2 linked regions of the Notamacropus eugenii genome follow. The protein of the gene in region 1 interacts with the protein of each later gene in a pairwise test. Links are inferred from orthologs where the notes say so. Each region holds a gene or a part of one and is shown on either strand. Other genes may lie near its edges. The genes, in order: TROAP and DYRK1B.

Region 1 (10,239 bases):
GGCAAAAAACTCCTAAGTAGCTCTCCCTCAGGTCCCATTTGTACTCAAATAATTGTGTTTGCTAAGAAAAGGCCTGAGAGCAGAGACAGAGGGCAAAACAAGATCCCCAAGATTTGCTTCTTCTGAGGAAGAACCAAAAGGCACTTTACCCAGAACTTTGGTAAGTAAGGAGTACATGTGAGAAAAGCTGGAAGGGGATCTTTGGAGTAAGTTCAGAGTCAGATAGAGGTTGGACTTCACGTCAGTAACAACTCCCATCCACTGCAGTGTACTGCTCCTCACCCAGGGCAAAAGCAGCCTCCTCAAGTCAAAACCATAGAGACAGGCTGATCACACATGACCAAGGAAATATCAACACACTGACCCACAAACTCGAGTCGGGAGGAAGATTTAGAACAAAGGCAGAGGGGATGCCAAACCACACAAGCCCCACTGCTTTGGTTCTCCAGGTCTCCATTCTTTCTGGCAGTATGCACACCACTTCCTGCTCCCTCTTACCTGCTGAACCCTGGGAGTTGAAGCAGGGGTGGCCTGAGGAGTCTTGGAGAAGACAGCCAAATGACGTACCACAGAATAGGAGGTCTGTGAAGAAATCAGAAAGTGACTGGAACTTGTTAGGCTGGACAACTCACACTTGGGTGACTTCTTTAATCCTAACCCCACGTATGTACAAACCAGAGCTTGTGGACGGGTGACAGGTACACGACTGGCCAGTCCAAAGGGCGAGGCATGGCCTACCTGGCCAGGAGTGAACTGAAGAGAAGAGGTCCAAGGGGAGGTAGGACTATCCTATGGGGGAAGAAGGCAAAGAAAAGTGGGACAGAAAACACCAATTTACCTTGCTGATACCTTACATTACCCTGAAGGTACTGTAGAAATGGTAAATAGAAATGGATTACTGCTAACTTATCCACTGGAGAGAGACTAGAAGGTTGGGGCAGAGATAGTTTCATTTTAGGAAGGTCTGGATCTGTTCTGTTTCAGACCAGACCTCTGAACCATGTAATACCCTTCTGAATATATTGATACTACCCTACCCACCTGTTCTTATCCTCAGTGCTACCTGCTACTGGGGGATTCTCTCAAAGGCTGGAACTTCCTATCTCCCCCATTCCCAAATATCCTCTATCTCCACTCTCTAAGGTCCTCTCTGGACGCTGATCTCACCATGGGGAGAGGGGCACCATGTATTCCTTTACGTTGTACCTGCTGAGCGAGACTGTGAGTTTCCAGTCTACTTTGGGAACCATTCAGCACTGTGGAGAAGGCAGGGATTTTCGGCTCTCCTGGGGGTTGGTGAGCTATATAAAGGATAACGCTCGTTCAAACATTTGTTATATGCAATATACTGTGCTAGATACCATGGAGGTGAAAGCAAATAAAACAAAGAAAGGTTAGATCATACACTCAAATGAGAATGATAAGTCTAACAGAGGGGCATAAAGTCCTATGAGGCCAGATAGTGGGAGAAATCACTTCTGGCTAGGGACTGGAGAATCAGGGAAGGCTTTGTAGGGTTGGTCCTATTTGAGCTGAATCTGGAAAGATGAGCAAGACATTAGGGGGGAGAACAGCACGATCAGAAGATTAACTGATTCAACAAATATTTACTGAACACCAACAACAGGTTCAACCCTGTGAGCTGAAAATGTCAATTTAACCAGCAGAACATAAGCTTCTTGAGAGCAGTGCTTTTTCATTTTGTCTTTCCATCCCCCTTCCCCCTAACTCCCCTCCTTGCCCTAGAGGTCTGGCATAGTGCTTTGCACATAGTAAGTGCTTAATAAATGCTAACTGGATTGGAATTGGTATTTAATGTATACCTGTGTTAAGGTTATGAGGCAACTAGGTGGTCAAATGGATAGAGTGCCAGGCCTGAAGTCAGAAAGACTCATCTTCCTGAGTTCAAATCTGGTCTCAGACACATATTAGTTGTGTGACCCTAGGCAAATCACTAAACCCCGTTTGCCTTAGTTTCCTCATCTGTAAAATGAGCTGGAGAAGGAAATGGCAAACCACTCCAGTATATTTGCCAAGAAACTCCTAAATGGGATCTGGAAGAGTCAGACATGACTGAAGAGTAACCTGTTAAGACTATGTATAGGCAAAATTTCAGAAGTAGCTTGCTAAATTGGGGACCGTTATTTTCCTGAGGGGTGGGGAGATGAGTGATAGTGATAATCACATCCACTTGGTAGGGTAGGAAACTTTCAGATGGTACCTATGGAAAACTGTACTTGAGGGCAGAAAGAATGTTAGTTAGAAAGAGGCATCCCCATGATCATGTACTCTCTAGTTTATACCTCTTGGCTCCAAGCTTTGATAATTCCATTCTACTTCTGTAATAAGTTATCTCATTTTCACCTCACCTGGTAGCCTTGTTCTTGCCCAGGACTGTCCTGAATCACTGCCCATCTGGGTCCTGATATCAGAGGGAACAGGAGTGTTGAATTATGCTCCACCTGTCAACTCAGGACTATCCCCCTGTGAAGTACAACTATTGACATAGTCCAGTGCACCCCAGGACCACTTGGAATGGTGGGGATTTCTGATGACACATCAGCAAGATCCTGGGTTACTAGTGATCCCTGCTCTGGAAGGTCAGGAAGGGTCTGAGGAAGCTAACACCATGGTGAAAGCTCTGTTATATTGAACTAGGTTTTTTATATTCCCCCTCCCTCAAGTTCTTCTGTTTATTTGAGTGTTAAGGCCAGGGGTAGCCTCATACGTTAGGTCATTTCTTTTCAGTGAGGTATCCGATCATGCCCCTGTACCTACTGTGGAACAAGCCCCTCTGAACCCAGACCCACTCCTTACTGGCTGATGATGTTTCTTTCTGTTGACTCTTGATTGCTATGACTGAATCTGGTATGACGTCCTGGGGTCTGGACCTAAAGCAGAATAGTAAAGGGTAAGAGTGCAATCCACCATCTACCTCTAAGTCTCATCTCAAACTCCACTGCAACTCTTCACACCCATTCCTTTCAGTACAACAATCCAACATTTACAAAGTCTTTACTATGCACAAAGTGCTGTGGATACAAAGGAAAAATAAAAACAGGCCTTGATCTTAAGAGTGGGTTTGGGGGCAGGTGAGAAGAAGGTTGTACAGAATATGGGCCTTAGCTGAAGGCTTTTAAAAGGCACCCATGAGGAAGGAAGATATTCCATGTAAGATGGATTGTAGGTACAGCAATCTTTACCACTATCCCTCTCTAGATGAACTGCATCTCCTTGAGGCCTTGCTGTCCCCCCACCCTCCATGACTACAGAGCCAGGAATAATTTTATTTTATCCTACTTACTACCTCTTACATCCTGAAGATCTAGCATAGTCCCTTGAACATAGAAGGTATTTAATACATGCTGATTGGAACCTGGTACCATTATTGAGTGCTTATTAAGGCTCCAGAGTAGGGGTTCTTAACTTGGGATCCATGAGCTATCAACAGGTCCATGAATAGATTTCAGGGGGTCCATGAACTTGGATGGGGAAAAATATTACACTTTTATTTCAATAGAACTGGGTTTTTTGGTAATCTTATGTATTTTATTTTAGACATTTTAAATCATTATTCTAAAAGGGGCTTCACCAGACTGCCAAAGGGATCTGTAACAAAGAAAAAGCTCAGGAACTTTTGCTTTGGAGCCTGAGACCTGATTGTTTTGGGCCACCAGAACTGTGGAAATTCCTTGAACTTGAAGATGTTGGGGAATGCATGATCTGGCCCACAGGCCCTATTTCAATCATGAAAACCCAGAAAACTGAACAGAATCCATTATGTCTGTAGAGATCTTAAGGACCCCAGAGAAAGGTTTCATAGTCTGAGAACAGAACCAGCTGCTGTTAACACAAGGCTAGAGACCTTTTTTTCTACCCAGATATCCCTTATTCCCTCTACTCACCTGTCTCCCACAGAGGGCACCTTTTTGATTTTGGTTTCCCCGGATCAACACTCTTTGGGCCAGACCACTCTGGCAGCTGTAACCACTACTAGTCACCTCCATACTTGACAGCATAGTGGCCAAATCTCCAGGGTCCACTGAAGGAAGAAAGGTGATAGAAAGGAGTGACAGTAAGTGAAAGGTAGAAGGGAGAAAGTATATTGCCTCTAGGTGAAACTAGTCCCACACTACCATCATAGGGATGCCCAAGGACAGAACCTCCAGGCACTTAGTCTTGCTTCTCTCCTAGTCGACTTCACTTTGGCCCCTTCTATTCCATCTAAGTCGTGGTTAACGGCCAAGAGAGCTGTATTTCTTGACCTTAAAGCAGTACCTGGCCTAGGTGGAGGATCAGCCTCCACATTTTGCCCCACAGAGGCAGGGCTGATGTCCTCCAGTGGGGCCCGGGGTCGAAGATTTCCCTTCCGGCCCGAAGTCTGCTGTTTCAGCTTGTGTCTAGGGCTGACTAGGTCTTTCTGGAGAAGCTGAGCACCAAACTTCTTCTGCATCATCATCCCCTAGGGGAAAGGAGAGAACAGAAATTTGGGGTTCAGTGTGAGCGCTGGGAAGAAATTGGAACCTCTCTGCACCTCCATTCCTTCCCTCCCCGCTCCACCCCAGCCCCCCGCAGGGGACCAGCCTGGCTCTAGCTCACCTTGGGATCCCGATTCTCTTGGCCGGAGGCTTGGTCCTCCCCACCAGAAAGAAGCAGGCATTTCCGGGCCAACACGGGAATCCTGCTGGGGGTGGAGAAGGCAGTTTGCAGGGGAGTGTCCATCAGATCCCCACTGGTAGTCGTCATGACCACTCCTGGGGTGGGGAAGGACCAAGGTCCCGGCCTTCTGCTCCCCCTTCCCCCTGTCCACAACACAGCCCAAAAGCCCGCACCAACGCCACGCTCCCTGCTCCTTCCCAGCCCAGCGGCCAACTAGGGCAACCCACTTCTTTTCAGTTTGTAAAATACTCATTCAGAGCTTCTGATTGGCCCGTCCGCTCCCTCGTACGGAGCGTGGACTGGAACCCTGGCGTCCAATCCACCGACAGTAGGCGTGCCCCGTCTGATGGGCAGGGAAGGGGGCGGAGCGCTCGTCTCTGCTCCCCCTCCCCTTTTCCTCCTTCCCCACTCTGAGAGGATGGGCGGCACCCCACCACAGATCCTGGGGTGGCAGGAGGGGAGGAGAAGGAGCTGCCTGGGCAGGGAGTCGAAGTGGGAAGAAAGCGGTAGGGATAAGTCCCCTGAGATCCCGCTGCCGGGAGAGGGGATGAGCCCTCGGGAGGTGGGGGGAGGGGGGGATATTGACAGGTCGGACCTGACGTCATCCCTGGCGGAGACATTTTGAAAGGTCGGTGGACTTCTGCGGGGGGCGGTGCGGGTATGCCACTCAGTCCCTCTCCTGCTCTTAAGCTTTCTACGGCTCCCCATGGCTCACCAAATAAAGTCCATCTGGTATCTCTTTTTAGTGAGACGCTTCATGACGTGGTATAAACACCTGGACTTTGACTCGGTGCGCGCTTGTAATCCACCTTCCCAAGGGAGCTCTCCAAACCTCAGTGCCCTCAGCTATAGCTATCCCATTTTGCACCCTCCCCCTCAAGGAAGGTGGTAATCAGGTGAATGGATTCGATTTATCCTGGCCTTCCAGCATGTTTCTCTCACAGTTTTCCCTCAGGAACTCTTTATTTACTCTGTCCCCTATCGCTTTCCATTAAAACCCTATCTTACCCTGCCCATCTCAAATACCACTTTGTTGAAGCCTTCCCTGAAGTTCCCATAGCTGCATCTTACATTGCCGCTCGTTCAGACCTCTCTTATACGCTTACGACCACGTATTATTTCTAGTTAGAGCAGCAGTCATTGCATTTGCAATATTGTTGGGTTTTTTAAAAATTTCTGTGAGGACCAGAAAGCCACACAAGTTTCCACAGTTTCCAAAAAAATTTGTGACTCTCCCAGTTCTGTCTAGGACTTAGAGAGGACAAGATAGCTGTATCGTCCCAAGTGCGTTCTGAATTTTGTTGTTTAGTCGAGTCTGACTCTTTGTGACCCTCTTTGGGGTTTTCTTGGTAGAGATAATGGAGTGGTTTGCCATTTCCTTCTCCAGCTCGTTTGACAGATGAGAAAACCGAAGCAGACATGGATAAGTGACTTACTTGCTCAGGATCATACCGCTAGTTATCTGAGGTCAGATTTAAATTCAAATCTTCCTGACTGCAATGCTCTATCCACTGTACCACCTAGCTGCCCTTGCATTCTGGATAAAATGATACTAGCATTCATGACATTTAACACAAATAGCTCTCTCTGTCCCTGTTTTATCTCCACTAGTAGACCATAACTCTTTACATATTCTTTGTAAAACTCTCCAACAATTCCTATCATAGTATGCATATAATATGCACTCAAATATTTGTTGAATGGATAAATGAATGATGGTTCCATTGAGGGTAGTTGGTTGAGCCCGTTGTCTGAAAAACCTGGGACAAGGTGACAACTTCACAACCTCAGGGAGGAAAAGGGTGGGAAAGAGTTGAGAGTTGAGGGGGAAAGGGCAGCTGAGGGAGGTCCATATTTTCACTTCTGCAGGGGGACTGTGTCTTGGAGAATCAATCAAGCAACATTTATTAAATGCCTATTAAGGGTGCTAGAGATACAAAGAAAGGCAAAAGAGCTCAAGGAGCTCACAAACTAGCAGGGAGAAGACAACATATAAAAAGAAGCTGAAAGGGGGGATGGGGAGAGGGTCCCTCATAGAAGGGAATAATGAGATGACTGCACTGGGCCCCCTCCTTAACTGGAGATCTGGGATGGGGTGGGGAAGAGCTGTCTACTGTCCACCTTCCAGACTGTCCAATAAGAGGGAGGGAGGGGTCCCAAGGCCAGAGGGTACTCAAGAGGAGTGAGTTTCCAAGTAGATTCAGTCATGCTGCAAGATGAATTACTGTGAAAACAGTAAGAACAGTGTAAGAGGAAAGGGACTGAGAAGTTAGACCACTTGTAAGTGATGAGAATAAGTAGCACCGGACTCTCCCTCCTCAAAGATCCTACAGGGCAGGGAAAACAAGTTGGGCTGTCCAAGAGAAGGGTTGCCCTCCTCAAAGATGCCCATGGATGGGGGCCATGGTTTGGAGTTTCTAGCAAAGGGCAGAGGTTTATTTTGGTGTCCTGTCCTTTTCTGAGAAGAGTCAGGGTCATTCTTTAGGTCTATAGAAAGTAATTGAAGAAGATTGATTAGATTCTCCTGTTCATGTTACTTTATACATTTATTGGCAATTTCCCTCTAAATGAGTGATTTTGAATAAACTAACCATTAAAGGGGGAGAAAGATTCAGGTCACATTTGTAAAACTTATAGATTTTAGAGGTTTATTGAAAGATATTTTTCGTAGCTAGGAGAGGTCTCAGGACTGATGGGGATGAGATCGTTTTCTGGTCTGTGTCTCAAGTTGTTTCTTCACCAGCTACCCCAAGACTGTAGGGGCTTTTCACTTCAGATCACCTGAAAAGAATTGGGATAATAGCTCCCCCAGGTGCTAGTGGGGAAGGGCTGGATATTAAGCCCTGGGGTCTCTGAGAAGTTTACCAGATGACTTTCTGGAACAGCAGAGTTCTGCTATCTCAAATCAGTTTGGTGATGGTGGTTTGAGTAGACTAGGTACCAACGCATCTCCCAAAATGGCTCACAAGTTTTTCCATATTTTACAAAAATGGCTCCATTTTTGTCCATATAAAAGATGATTAAATTTTTCTGGTTCCCAGGTATCCTATGGCAGCGATTGGTTAAATGGGATGGTGAGAGTGGGATGGGGATGCAACCTTCTTCTGACTCCTTAGGAGGCAAACTATGTTATCAACAGGAACTAGGTTGCTACAAAAATTTATTTTGCCGGCTGAGATGAGCATTATTACAACTTAAGAAAGAGGGAGGGATCTCCCTACAAACACAATAGTGATCTTTTCGTAGGTAAGTAGAAAACAAAGTACAGAGTTCTCATATCACCCAAATTCGACTTTACTAAAGAATTCTGAAAGAAATCTGCATTCCCAAAAAACACGCATGTTAACTTTGTTGTGATCTCTTTCCACTCCTGCCCCTCTAGGCAGCCTCACCACCCCCTACCCCCTACCAAAAAAAAAACCAAACTCATGGGAAAGATTACCTCACCTCCTTGAAGTGAGGTGAGAAAGGTAACATTTGCCCCACTCCACCCACCTGCCAGGTGTCTGGACACCCACAATGCATCCTCAGCATCAGCTAAAGAGGTGACCCACAGTTGGATTATTACATTACTTGGGATTTGGGGTTTGGTGGGTACTAGGCCCTAAGCACATGTGTCCCTGTGTACGACTGTCTTCCCCTGTCTTTGTCCACATCCAGCTCCAATGTGTCTGGTTTGCACCTCACCCCTACTTCGTCCCAGTTAGGCCAGGCCCTGCTCCGTGTTCCTCTTCCTGCTCTCCCTTCTCTGTCCTTGAATTGTATGCTGCCTCCTTCCCTCCAAGAAGTGGGGTTGTGTGTTGGGGTGGAGGTGCAGCCTTCTTTCAGGCAAATTCGCATGATGTAAAAATCATTTTTTTACACAGAGATCTGCAGAATGTCCACTGAGAACTTCCAGTATACTAAACAATTTTTCTTGCTATTAACTAACTTGACCCCCTGCTCTGGGAAATTGCCTTGGGGTTTGCTTCTAGAGGAAGGACAATAGAACCTTGACTTTAAGGAGTTACAGCTGTGCTTTTGGATTCTTTATATGAAAGAGCTGACTAGATTATGACTGTGGTGGAAGGATCTTTCACAAGTCTTCTAATATTTAGGAGAAAAAAGCCTCAGTTTACGAGTGCCCCTACCTATGTGTGTCTGTGTTCTCTAGTAAGCTGTTTTTACCTGTTTATATTCACAGAGTAACATGGGCATTTGTAGTGGCAAAAAAACGTAAACAGGAAACATCAGTGTTAAGAGTATATAGCTACTGAGAATAGACGTCATGGAAGGCATTGCCGAAGTTGACCTTTTGTTGTCCCTGGCACAGGGTTCTTTGATGGCATTCCCCTTCCCCATGTTGTAGTGGTGTGACCACATTAAAGGTCAGTCCTATGGCCCTTGAGAGCATTGTCTGGCCTGGTGATGACCCTAGAATCGAGTCAGCCTGGGGTGGGGATAGAGCACATGATCGATCGCTCTGCAGGGTTGTAGTAGTGAAGTAGTCTAAAGCCCTGTCCCACCATCCTATCCCATATCAGGCTCTGAGCCAAGGTTTCTTTTGATGGTAACTTTGTTTTATTTATGATAAAAGCAAAATGCAGAGATTTAGCAGAGATGGGGGAAGGGATCCTGGACGGCATATACTCCCAGGTTGCAGGGTAGGGGGAGTTCCCATTGGTGGGAAGGGGACGCAATTAGGATGGATGCTAGGCCACACATATGCAAAAGGGCCAGAAGAAGCCACACTCATGTTGTGGAAGGAGGAGGTCCTATGTCAGGAGAATTGGAGAATGCATCCACAGCACCAGCTAAAGGGGTGACCCACAGGTGGGTCATTACATTACTTGGGATTTGGGGTTTGGTGGGAACTAGGCCCCAAGCACCATGCAGGGTGTAGGGGCCAGTTCAGACCCCTGATATGGAAGTTTAGGGAGAGGGTAGTAGGCATCTTTGGTTCATTAAAGGCTTAGTAGCTGTGAGTGGAAGACTTATCTAGTTCACTCCGCTGTTCCTTATGGGATTCTGTCACCACCTGCTGGAAAGGATAGGTTTAGTGGGGGTTGAAGTCTGTTGGCCTCAAACCCTCCCCATTATGAAAACTGAGGTTTACCTTTCCCTAACATCTGTCCATCACCCCTACCTCCCTGTTGTGGCTCACAGAAATAAAGAACAAAGCTAAAGGCTTCCTGATGGCTCTCAGGTACTTCCCACTTACCTCCCCATCTCGAGTTTCGATGGTCTTGATCACAACCATCTTTCGGCTGTGGGTGTCCGAGGGAAGTTCAGGCTCAGGCACTTAGGAGAGGAGAATATGGGAGGGGAGAACAGGGAAAGGAGATACTCATCATAACAATAATTTACACGTTTTATATAGTTTCACAGCATTTTAAGGTTTATGGCATTTTGTAGATATACTCATTTGAGCCACATAAAAAGTCTGAAGTACTTGGTGCAAGTATAATTATTTCCATTTTACAAGTTAGGAAACTGAGGATTAGTCATGAGAGACCTAGGTTTGTACCTCAGTTTTGCTTCTGGCTAGTTATGTTACCCTGAGAAAGTCACTTAATCCCTTTCAGTTTCCTTAGTTTCCTC
Region 2 (10,816 bases), on another chromosome or scaffold:
TGGTATACAGATATAGCATGCCAGTTTTTACAGCTCCCCAAACACATATCATAAAGCACATTGTCCAGACCCGTATTTGTTGTCATTGCTGTGAAGTCTTTGTAACTCCTTTTGGGGGGATGTCTTCTTGGCAAAGATCCTGGAGGGGTCTGCCATTTCCTTCTCCAGCTCATTTAACAGATGAGGAAACTGAGGCAAACAGGGAGAAGTGACTTGCCCAGGGTCACCCAGCTTAGAAGTGTCTGAGGCCGGATTTGAACTTACAAAGATCAGTGTTGCTGATTCCAAATCCATATGGTGCTCCATATAGAAGTTTAATTTTTGCCTCCTAAAAACTAAATTTTTAATTTTCCTCCATTTTTTCTATGTTCAAGAAACTAGATGATTACAGTCCATAGAATAACTCAGAAGGGGGGGAGTGAAAGCGGAACCATAGAAATGGATTATTTTTTAATATGCTGAACAAGATCTCCTTTCATCCCCTACATCGGTGGTGCTCAAAAAGACTCCTCAAGATTGCCCAGGACCCCTTAGGTCAGGGGGATCCATGAGGCCAAAACCATGTTTTATACCCAGAGGCTATCTGCCTGTTCAAAAACCTGCCCCTTTTCCAACTAGGTATCTGGGTAAATACACCTCATATACTTCCACCAGAATGAAATAGCTAGACAGACTGAAGCTGACAGATCCAGAAATACCGCAAATATGTCACCATACACTTTCTTTTGACATCAAGCTTTTCCCCGGACCCCTCCCACCTGACGCCAGGGGCCTGCCCCTCCCCCCACCTTTCAGCTTCCTTCGCCGCGCGGCCCCTCCCCCTCAGGTGGGAGCTCCCGGAGGGCAGGGCCGGCCTCCGTTCCGGCTCCTCAGCGCCTGGTGCCCAGGAGGATCGTGGAATAACGTGTGTTTCTCACCAAACTTTGAGGAGCGCCGCCCTGCTGGAACCAGAGGAGGAAGAACAGAGACAGGTAGCGAGAGAAACCGCCGCCTCGCGGCCTCCCCAGGCACTGCGGCAGGAGGCCGCCGCCACCTTCACGAGGCCACGAGTCACTTCCGGACCCATTCTCGACGTCTCCTAGGAGACAAAAGCATCTGTTCAAAACTACACTTCCCGACAGGGCACCCCGGCCTCCTGGCGCCCTCGTGACGTCATGACGCCCTACGTGGCCCTCCCCGCCTTCTCGATCCCGGAAATGCTGCGGCCCCGGCCTGGGACTTCGTAGGACTACTTTTCCCAGGATTCCACCGTCCCTTGCGAGGTGACGTAAGGGACAACCGGGGAGGCGGGGACAAGAGAAAGGTACCGGGTAAACCTAGACTGCGCAGGCGAGAGAAGACCCGTCTCGGAGCTTTCGCGTTCCTGCCTGCGTGCGTGCTGCGTGCGTGCTTACGTACGTAACCCGGCGCCGGGCACGCCAATCCCCTCTTGCTTCCCTTGCGGGCTGTAACCGGGGGTGTTGGAGGCCCGGTGGCCGCGTGTCTGCTGGCGGCCGCCGTGCGGGGCGACCCCGCTGCTGCTTCCGCTTCCTGCGCAGAGCGAGCCGCGTGCCATGAAGCCAGGTGAGCGCGGGGCCGGGCTGGGGAGGACTGGCGGGCCCAGACTGGGGCCGGGCTGGGGAGGACTGGCGGGCCCAGACTGGGGCCGGGCTGGGGAGGACTGGCGGGCCCAGACTGGGGCCGGGCTGGGGAGGACTGGCGGGCCCAGACTGGGGCCGGGCCAGGGCTTGCGCGCCTCAGTTGACTCGCCGGTAGCCGGAGGCCCGCGGACCGTGGCGCCTTCTCCGCTCTCTCGCTTTCCAGCCCTCCTCGCCCCCGGCGCGGAGGGGCGGCTCTGGTACGGTCCCCGTTTTACCGGCGAGGAAACTGAGGCAGGCAGCCTGGGGTAGCAGCTGGGAAGGGTCTGGGGCCGGATTGGAGCTCGAGCCGCGCACTCCCGCGTCCTGCCCGCAGCTTTCGCGAGGCCCGAGGCCGGGTTTGGTGGGCCTGCCCGATCGGGCCGGGACCCTCCCCCTGGAGCCAGGCTGGGATGGCTGTCACCGCGGGGGTGGGAGGGGCTGGGCCCTTCCTCGGAGCTGCTCCGGGGAGAGGAGGGAAGGGCCTCCAGCCTCAGCACCCCCACCCCTCCCTGGGCCTCCCGGGTTCCTCCGTAGGGGACGGCGGGCTTCTCTGTCTCATCTCCCAGATGCACTGACAGCAGTTTGGGGCGTGATAAAGGGTCTCCCGTGCTGTGGGGCTGTCCCCCTCCCCCCATTCCCATGAACGTGAACGTGGAGCTTCCTCGTCACCTGGGGTCCGGGTGAGCTGGCAAGCGGCCGAAGAAGTTTCTGGCTAACTTATTTTTTTGCCCGCAGGATTCAGCCCCCGAGGGGGGGGCCGGGGGGGGTTCGGAGGTCGTGGCAGAGGTGGTGACCGAGGGGGCCGAGGAGGCTTCGGGGGCCGAGGAGGCTTCGGGGGCCGTGGCCGGGGCGGCTTTGGAGATCGCGGTGGCCGAGGAGGTGGCCGAGGTGAGTTGAGGTCGCCGGCTCACGGGGGTGGAGGGAAGGAGCACTTCCTCCGGGATCTATGTTGGACTGTCCAGCCAGCAAGGAATCTTTGCCTCCCGCAGGAGGGTTCCAGTCCCCTGGGGGTCGGGGCAGAGGCACCCCCCGGGGTCGAGGCCGGGGTGGCAGAGGAGGTTTCCAAGGAGGAAAGAAGGTCACTGTGGAGCCTCATCGACATGAGGGTGAGTGAGGACATGTCCAGTGCCACTTTTCTTAGCAAAGAAAGTGGCAAAACGGCCATTGTGCAGTTTTGTTTTCTTTGTTACCAGTTTTCCTCGTTTCAGAGACAGGGGATGCCTGGTAGAGAAGAAGGGGGTGCCCATGAGTCACATTGGCCCCTCTTTTTTTTTTTTTCAGGAGTTTTTATTTGTCGAGGGAAAGAAGATGCTCTGGTCACAAAGAACATGGTACCCGGGGAGTCAGTCTATGGTGAGAAGAGAATCACTGTGGAGGTGAGGATGGGACCTTGTGGTGGGAGGGGATGTGGGACAGGCTCCCATTTCAGTCAGTCATGAAGTATTTACTGAGTCCTTGCTCACAAAACAGTCTAGTGGGAAAGGTGACATGGCAGTTATCATATAGAAACAAGTCATATACAGTACAGAATAAATTAGAGATGATCCCTGAGGGAGACAGTATAGAGGGGCATTGAGAAAGGCTTCTTGTAGAAAATGGAATTTCAGGTTTGAAGGAAGCCAGGGCAGGTAGGAGATAGAGGAGGTAGGGAGAGCCTTCCAGTTCTGGGGGAGCATGTCACCAGTGAAAATGCCAAAGTTGGGAGACGGAGCATCCCGCAGATCAGCAAGGCCACCATTGTCGCTGAATCCCAAGTTATGTTGGGAAAGGGAGTAAGGTATAGGACATAGGGAAGGTAGTGGAGGGCCAGAGTATGAAGAGTTGACTCTTGATTTCCTCCACCCTTTCAGGATGGTGAGGCGAAGTTGGAATACCGTGCTTGGAACCCCTTCCGATCAAAACTGGCTGCAGCCATCCTAGGTGGAGTGGATCAGATCCATATCCGACCTGGGGCCAAAGTACTCTACTTGGGAGCAGCATCTGGCACTACTGTCTCACATGTCTCTGACATTGTGGGCCCTGTGAGTCTGGGGGAACCCTTCTCCACTTTCACAAATAGAATAAGAATAGGGAGGGCCTGCTGCCACCTCCTAACTGCTTAAATACAAAACCCAAAGAGCTAGCGGTGAGGTACATTGAAGAGATTCTTCACCTGCTACTGAACTCTGAACAAAGGGGTTTGAGGGCAGGAAGTATGGCACAGAATGATACCTGCTGATTTTTGCATGGCTCCTGCTGCTCCCCAGGTCGCAGGTGCTCTGAGTCTTAGGAGGAAGGGCTTGGTGGTGGGTTCTTGATCATGTGACAGGTGAGGACAGTGAGCTCTCCTCTGCCCCTCAGGAAGGTCTGGTCTACGCTGTTGAGTTTTCTCATCGATCTGGCCGAGACCTCATCAACGTGGCCAAGAAGAGGACAAACATCATTCCTGTCATTGAGGATGCGCGACACCCCCACAAATACCGAATGCTCATTGGTGAAGGCCTGGGGCATCCCTACCTCCATAGACAGGGCTGTGGGGCGGAAATGATCTGTGCTGTGGCTAGAGAAGGCAACCAAGTTGGGGCTGGAAGGTCCTGAATTCAAATGCCACCTTAGATAAGCTGTGTAACCCTGGGCAAATCACTTAATCTGCAGGGGACTTGATTTCCTCGGCTGTTTAAAAAAAGATTTTTGTCAAGCTTTTTGCAAACTTTAAGGCGCTATGTAAATGCTATTATTATTTATTAGAAAGGAGTGTGATTTTAATTTCTGGGAGGCAGCTGGCCTCTGAATTTGGCCTTTATCCTGTGGACCATGGGGAACGGAAGAAGGTTTCGGCTAAGTCAGGGATTGGTGTGTTCAGAGCCATCCCATGAGATTGGATTGGCAGTCTGCAGGGGGGAGTAGAGGGCTAAGAGATGAGATGGGACACAGGGATGAGCCTGACGACTCTGTGCCAACTGTGGCTGGTGCCCTTCCTTCCTCTGCCTCCAGGGATGGTGGATGTGATTTTTGCTGATGTGGCCCAGCCAGACCAGTCCCGAATTGTGGCTCTCAATGCACACAACTTCCTGCGCAACGGTGGACACTTTGTGATCTCCATTAAGGTAAAGTTCCCTGGCCAAATTCAGAAGTGAGGGGAGGAGGCCTGGCCATAGGTTTGTGTCCTCATGACCACCACCTCTCCCAGGCCAACTGCATAGACTCCACAGCCTCCCCTGAAGCTGTGTTTGCCTCAGAAGTCAAGAAGATGCAGCAGGAAAACATGAAGCCACAGGAACAGCTCACCTTGGAGCCCTATGAGCGAGATCACGCAGTGGTGGTGGGTGTGTACAGGTAAGCCTTGGGAGGATCCCCATTGTGCTGGGGGTAAGGGGTGCCTGGGCCCAGCAGGGGCCCCATTTGGGGGGGGGGGGTGCTCCTGGGCACAGCAGGGGTCCTGTTGCTCTAGGGATGGCGGGGGGGGGGGGCGTGGTTCCTGGACACAGCAGGGGTCCTATTGCTCTGGGGATGGGGGGGGTGGGGTCCCTGGGCACAGCAGGGTTTCTTGGGGGTTATCGGGGTGCTGCCTGGGCTCTGACGTCTCCTTTCTCCTCACAGGCCTCCCCCCAAGCAGAAGGAAGTAGCTGCCAAGTAGCTGTTGCTTCTCCCGTCCCCGCCCCGCCTTCCTCTTTTTCTACTGTTTTGTGTCAGATCTTTGTATTTTCTATTAAAAGGTGTGACCCCATGTGACTCCTGGATTCTCAAAGGGTTAAAGGGGGGCGGTGGAAGGACGGCCAGGCTGCGCGCCTGCGCACTGAGGCGAGCCGCCGCTGTTCGCCCTGTGGTTACCCGCGGAGGTCGGGCGTCGACCTCTGCGACGCATGCTTCGTCTTGCTGCCTTCTGCGCGCTCGGGGCGGGCCCCAACTTAGATGTCGCGCATGTCTCTTGTATAGCTGGCGCAGGCGCACGGAGTGGCGGCCCGGTGCCTGAGTCACGTGTCGAGGGAGGATGGGAGGGGGCAGGGGGCGGAGTCCGGGCCGGGGGGGCCGGTTTGTTGTGGTCGCCATTTTGCTGGTTGCATTACTGGGTAATTGGGGACCCCGGGCCGCTGCCGATCTGACTGGAGCAGCCCGCCCGCGCCGCCACCGCCAGCCTTCCCGCGCGGGGATGAGCCCGGGGCGCTGAGCCGCCGCCGCCTGCCCCGCGCGTTCCGCTCCGCCCCTCCCCCTACGGCCCGGCACCCCCCGCCCACAGGTAACGGCCGCGCGCGCGCCCGCCGGGGCTGGGGGAGGGGAGGGGGCGCGTGCCCGTCCGCTCTAGCCCATCCGTCCTCCGGCGCGCCGCCCTCCACCCCCGCGCCGAACGTTAGCCCCGGGGAGGGGGTCGGGGGGAGCACGGGACGACCGTTAGGGCCGCCCCTCCCTGGGCGGCGGGGTGGGGCGGAGCGGGTGGGGGGGCGCGCTGTCCCGGGCCCGGCGGGGTGGGGGAGGGGCGCCGGACCAGGTGCCCGGGGGGAGGGGAGCGGAGGGGGCGGGGCCGCTATTTATAGCTGGGTTCCTGGAAGGGGCCGGCCCCGGGGGAGCGCGGCGCGGGCCGGGGCGGGGCCGGGCAGCCGGGCCGGGGGCGGAGCCGCGGCCTCTCCGGCCCCCTCCCCCTGCCCCCCTCCCTCCCCTTTCCTTCGCTCTCCCGCTCTTTGTTTGGGCAAGAGCCGGCGCGGGCCCCCACCCGCCGCATCGCGGTCGCTTGGCAACAGCGGGCCGGCTCCCCGCCATTGGCCGACTCGCCGAGCCCCTCGGGCCAATGGCAGGCCTGTTGCCATGGCAGGGGTCATGTTGCAGCCGCCTCGTGTGCGCCGCGGGGAGCGGGAGCCCGAGCCCGGGAGGCGGGAGGCGGGGCGGGGCGGGGCGGGAGCCGGAGCGGGCGCCCCTCGAGCTCAGCACCTCCTCCCCCTCCCCCGCCGGGGGGGAGCCAGGGGAGGGGGGGCCCGGGCCGGGCCGGCCGGGCCGGGCTGCTGGGGTGCTATGGGCGTCGGAGGAGAGGCTTCTCTGGCCCCCGGTGCGACCCCAGGGTTGATTAGCAGATAGGCCAGGCTGGAAGTGGGGGGGAGGCCTGTCCCAGTCCCAGCCCAGCAGCTGTAGGGTTAACCCCATCCTCCCTTCCCCCTCTCCCCCCTTCCACCTGCTCAGTTGCCCCCCCTCTAGGCAACCTCGGCTGACCCCCCTCCCCCCTCCCAGCGGCTGCTGCTGTCACCCAGCGGACAGGACAGGACAGGGCCGGGCAGGGACTGGGGGGGCCTCCCCTCCCTCAGACGGGTCACCCTTCCACCTCCGTGTCCCCTCGGGGCTCCCACCCTCCCTGCCCGAGATGCTGACTGCCCGACTGCCAGACTGGGGACCCCGCCGGCCACCTGCCCATGGCTCCCGACAGCCCCCCAGCGTGGGTATGAGAGGGGGGGGGGGGTGCCGAGTGGGGGCTCACCAGCCCCCTTTCTCACGTGGGTGTAACTCGGGGCACTCCCTGGTGTCAGATGAGAACTCCCCCATATCCAAATGCCTTCCCTTTGTGCTCCCCCCCTCCCATGGAGAGTGGCTATCAGCTGGGGAGGAGTGGGTATGAGACTGGGAGAGTTCCAGCCTCTCCTCTGTTGTTGGGGGCATGGGGGAAGGGCTGTCACAGGCTCCTGACCGGCTCTGCTCTGGCCCTTCATTGTTACTGGTCTCTTTCACCCCATCCCTAATTAGCTGCCTTTGCCCTTTTCTCTGTCTGTCTGTCCTGGCTCCGTGATACTCTGGCCTGCCCCCTCCCTTCCGTGGTGCCCGTCCCCCACATCCCATCTCCTCTACTCCCTCCCTCCAGGTCCCGGCGGTGCTGGTGGCAGCAGCTGTGGTGCAGGATGCGAGAAGTCGCCCCCCAGCCGGGCTCCTGCTCCGGGCCTTCCTTCCCTTCGGCCCTCTGAGCCGGACATGGCCGCCCCTCCCAGCCATGGTCCTTTCTCCGGCTTTCCAGCCCCCCAGGAGCATACACAGGTAGCACCTAATCTAGCTCCTGGTGAAAGGTGGAACCCTGGATTGAGTTTCTGGCAGGGGGGAGGGGGCAAAAGGACAGGCCTTAGGGAAAAACGTGAAATTGAAGGGTCTGGTGTTGAATCATCCATGAGCTGTAAGATCTAGAAAGTGCAGATGGACAGTTGAAGGATCTGGGTCAGGAAAAGGAGATCCTAGTTTAGGATCTGAGGGTTACAGACTTAGAGCTGACCCGAACTTTTGAGGTCATCTCCTGCTCATTTTACAGATGAGGCAGCTGAGGCCTAAAGAGAGGTTAAGCCTTCTTTCCAGGGTCACACTGGGAGGAAGTAGCTGAGCTGGGATTTGGGCCCAGGTCCTCAGACTCCATCCAAATCCAGCTCCCTTCCATAGTATCATAGTCCCTGCCCCAACTTTGGCCATCAGACACTCCAAGGGTCTGTGGGGAAATTGTTCAAGGTTAAAGGTTAAAAGACAAAGTGTGGCAGGGAGGTAGAACTGGACTGATAGTTGGCTGGTCAGCTGTGCAATCCTGAGAAAGTTATTGAGAGAGCTTCAGTTTTCCTTTTTGTAAAATGGGGGTAACAGTTGTCGTACCTAGAGCACAAGGTTCTGTAGGACAATGGAACTGTGAGCGTGGGAGGGTTGGAAAGGGAGGTCAGGGGTTGAAGCCTGGCCCCTTACATGTCCTTCCCCCTCCTAGGTGGTGCCAGATGTCAGGCTGCTACAGCGACGGCTCCCGCTGGCCTTTCGGGATGCCACCTCCGCCCCACTACGAAAGCTCTCTGTGGACCTTATCAAGACCTACAAGCACATTAATGAGGTGGGCTGGACCCTGGGCAGGAGCTGGGACTGAGCTGGGCAGTGACTCCCAATATCTCTTCTTACCATCCTCTACATTCTCTGTTCCCAGGTGTACTACGCCAAGAAGAAGCGTCGGGCCCAGCAGGGACCCCCAGAGGATGCGAGCACAAAGAAAGAGAGGAAGGTTCTGAATCACGGCTATGATGACGACAACCATGACTACATTGTGCGAAGCGGGGAACGGTGGCTGGAGCGATACGAGATCGATTCACTCATCGGGAAGGGCTCCTTCGGGCAGGTGGGAATCAGAATGAGTGAGACACCTCAGGGAGAGGTAGGCTTCCATCCTCTGAAAGCCAGAGAAGGTGACTTTCCTCTCCTGCACCCCACATCCCGAGACCTATGTGCAAGCCTGAGTTTTCTCGGCTGCCTCTCAAGTCGTACTATTGATGCCTGAGCTAGAACATTGCCTGACTATGTCTCTTCCCCTTGGGATCCATCCTGGGGCCGAGAGACCTGCTAATTCCCATCCATCCCCATTGATCCCCACTGTCGCTCCCAGGTGGTGAAGGCCTATGACCACCAGGCCCAGGAGCTGGTGGCCATCAAGATCATTAAGAACAAGAAGGCATTTCTGAACCAGGCACAGATTGAGCTGCGGCTGCTCGAGCTGATGAACCAGCACGACACGGAGATGAAGTACTACATCGGTGAGGCCTGGGAGCAAGGCAGGCGGCGGGTGGCCAGCCATGGGAGGTGGGCACAGAGTGGAGCTGGAGGCTGAGGTCCAAGCTGCCACCGCATGTCCCTGCGCCTTCTCCTCCAGTGCATTTAAAACGACACTTCATGTTCCGGAACCACCTGTGTCTGGTCTTCGAGCTCCTCTCCTACAATCTGTACGACCTTCTGCGCAACACACACTTCCGGGGAGTCTCACTGAACCTGACCCGGAAGCTGGCGCAGCAGCTCTGCACAGCCCTGCTCTTCTTGGCCACGCCTGAGCTCAGCATCATCCACTGCGACCTCAAGCCCGAGAACATCCTGCTGTGCAACCCCAAGCGCAGCGCCATCAAGATCGTCGACTTCGGCAGCTCCTGTCAGCTGGGCCAGCGGGTACATGGCGGCCATGGGCCACTCACCCTGGGGGAACCATCTCCCAATCTGGGCTGGGGGCAGGCAACCACAAGGTACCCAGGAGGCCCTGACCAAGCCTCCTTTCTCCCCAGATCTATCAGTACATCCAAAGCCGCTTCTATCGCTCCCCTGAGGTGCTTCTGGGGACACCGTACGATCTGGCCATTGACATGTGGTCTTTAGGCTGTATTCTTGTGGAGATGCACACAGGAGAGCCCCTCTTCAGTGGTTCTAATGAGGTGAGGCTCAGACTGGGAGAATCAAAGAGGCAGGCCCAGGGACAGCCAGTGGAGGGTGGTGAGCCTGACTGCTCTGTCCTGCCCTTTGGCCCAGGTGGACCAGATGAACAGGATTGTGGAAGTGTTGGGACTGCCCCCAGCTCCCATGCTGGAGCAAGCTCCCAAAGCTAGGAAGTACTTTGACAGGTTGCCTGGAGGGGGCTGGACCCTCCGGAGGAGCAAAGACCTCAGGAAGGTGAGCCGCTCTGCTCTTATGTGCCTGCCACCGCCCCTCTAAACCCCATCTAAAGTGCCTTCCTCCTGGGTGGCTTGTCTGCAGTCACTTCCCCAATATCCTTTTCTGCTCCTTCCATCCTTCCTTCCCTTCTCCCTGTTTTTCTCCGATCCATCTTTCCTCGCTGTCGTTACAGTTAGGAATTCTTTTATTCCTGTCCCATTCTCCTCCATGTTCCCCCTCCCATGACGCCTCTCCTCTTTCCTAGGAGTACCAAGGCCCCGGCACACGGCGGCTGCAGGAGGTGCTGGGTGTGCAGACGGGCGGCCCCGGGGGCCGGCGGGCAGGTGAGCCAGGCCATAGCACAGCCGACTACCTCCGCTTCCAGGACCTGGTGCTGCGCATGCTGGAGTATGAGCCGGCCGCCCGCATCAGCCCCCTGGGTGCCCTGCAGCATGGTTTCTTCCGTCGAACTGCCGATGAGGCGACCAACACAGGGCCCTCGGGGAGCAGCACATCCACCTCACCTTCTCCAGCCCCTGACGCCTCCCACTCCTCCAGCGCGGCCAGCTCTGTCTCCAGCTCTGGTGCGGGGGACTTCGGGGACTACCCCCTGAGTGGGACTGGGGGAGAGAACTTGGCCCCTGGGACTGCCATAGAGGCACATGTGCCCAGGGCATAAGCACTCGATGCCTACGTGAAGCAGGAGAAAATCTCTCTGAATCTCATTTTTGCTCTTGTAGAAACTGTAATCTCACAACCACTCCATACCTCAGTCCTGGGAATCTATGGTCTCTGACCTTAAACCAAAGGGTCACTCT

Evidence for each region.
Region 2: the proteins of TROAP (region 1) and DYRK1B interact in binary tests that used the Homo sapiens proteins (3 or more experiments, as listed by UniProt). The link is inferred for Notamacropus eugenii from reciprocal best matches to the Homo sapiens genes TROAP and DYRK1B.

Annotation. Positions count from the first base shown.
Region 1 is NC_092874.1:221,291,034-221,301,272, reverse strand, and holds the start of TROAP (tastin), read right to left. Parts: upstream 4,913-10,239; 5' UTR 4,747-4,912; coding exon 4,600-4,746; intron 4,463-4,599; coding exon 4,279-4,462; intron 4,043-4,278; coding exon 3,906-4,042; intron 2,892-3,905; coding exon 2,818-2,891; intron 2,423-2,817; coding exon 2,370-2,422; intron 1,302-2,369; coding exon 1,207-1,301; intron 790-1,206; coding exon 499-789; intron 1-498. Other genes in the region: PRPH (peripherin), read right to left, coding at 9,611-9,679, 9,860-9,939. UniProt on the Homo sapiens protein: Could be involved with bystin and trophinin in a cell adhesion molecule complex that mediates an initial attachment of the blastocyst to uterine epithelial cells at the time of the embryo implantation.
Region 2 is NC_092876.1:32,309,849-32,320,664, reverse strand, and holds the start of DYRK1B (dual specificity tyrosine-phosphorylation-regulated kinase 1B), read left to right. Parts: upstream 1-6,531; 5' UTR 6,532-6,602; coding exon of another isoform or gene 6,603-6,636; 5' UTR 6,637-6,945; coding exon 6,946-7,021; intron 7,022-7,437; coding exon 7,438-7,607; intron 7,608-8,307; coding exon 8,308-8,427; intron 8,428-8,517; coding exon 8,518-8,706; intron 8,707-8,970; coding exon 8,971-9,118; intron 9,119-9,234; coding exon 9,235-9,521; intron 9,522-9,634; coding exon 9,635-9,781; intron 9,782-9,875; coding exon 9,876-10,016; intron 10,017-10,263; coding exon 10,264-10,582; intron 10,583-10,816. Other genes in the region: FBL (rRNA 2'-O-methyltransferase fibrillarin), read left to right, coding at 1,554-1,563, 2,355-2,507, 2,609-2,725, 2,901-2,995, 3,470-3,640, 3,960-4,092, 4,593-4,705, 4,789-4,934 and 1 more.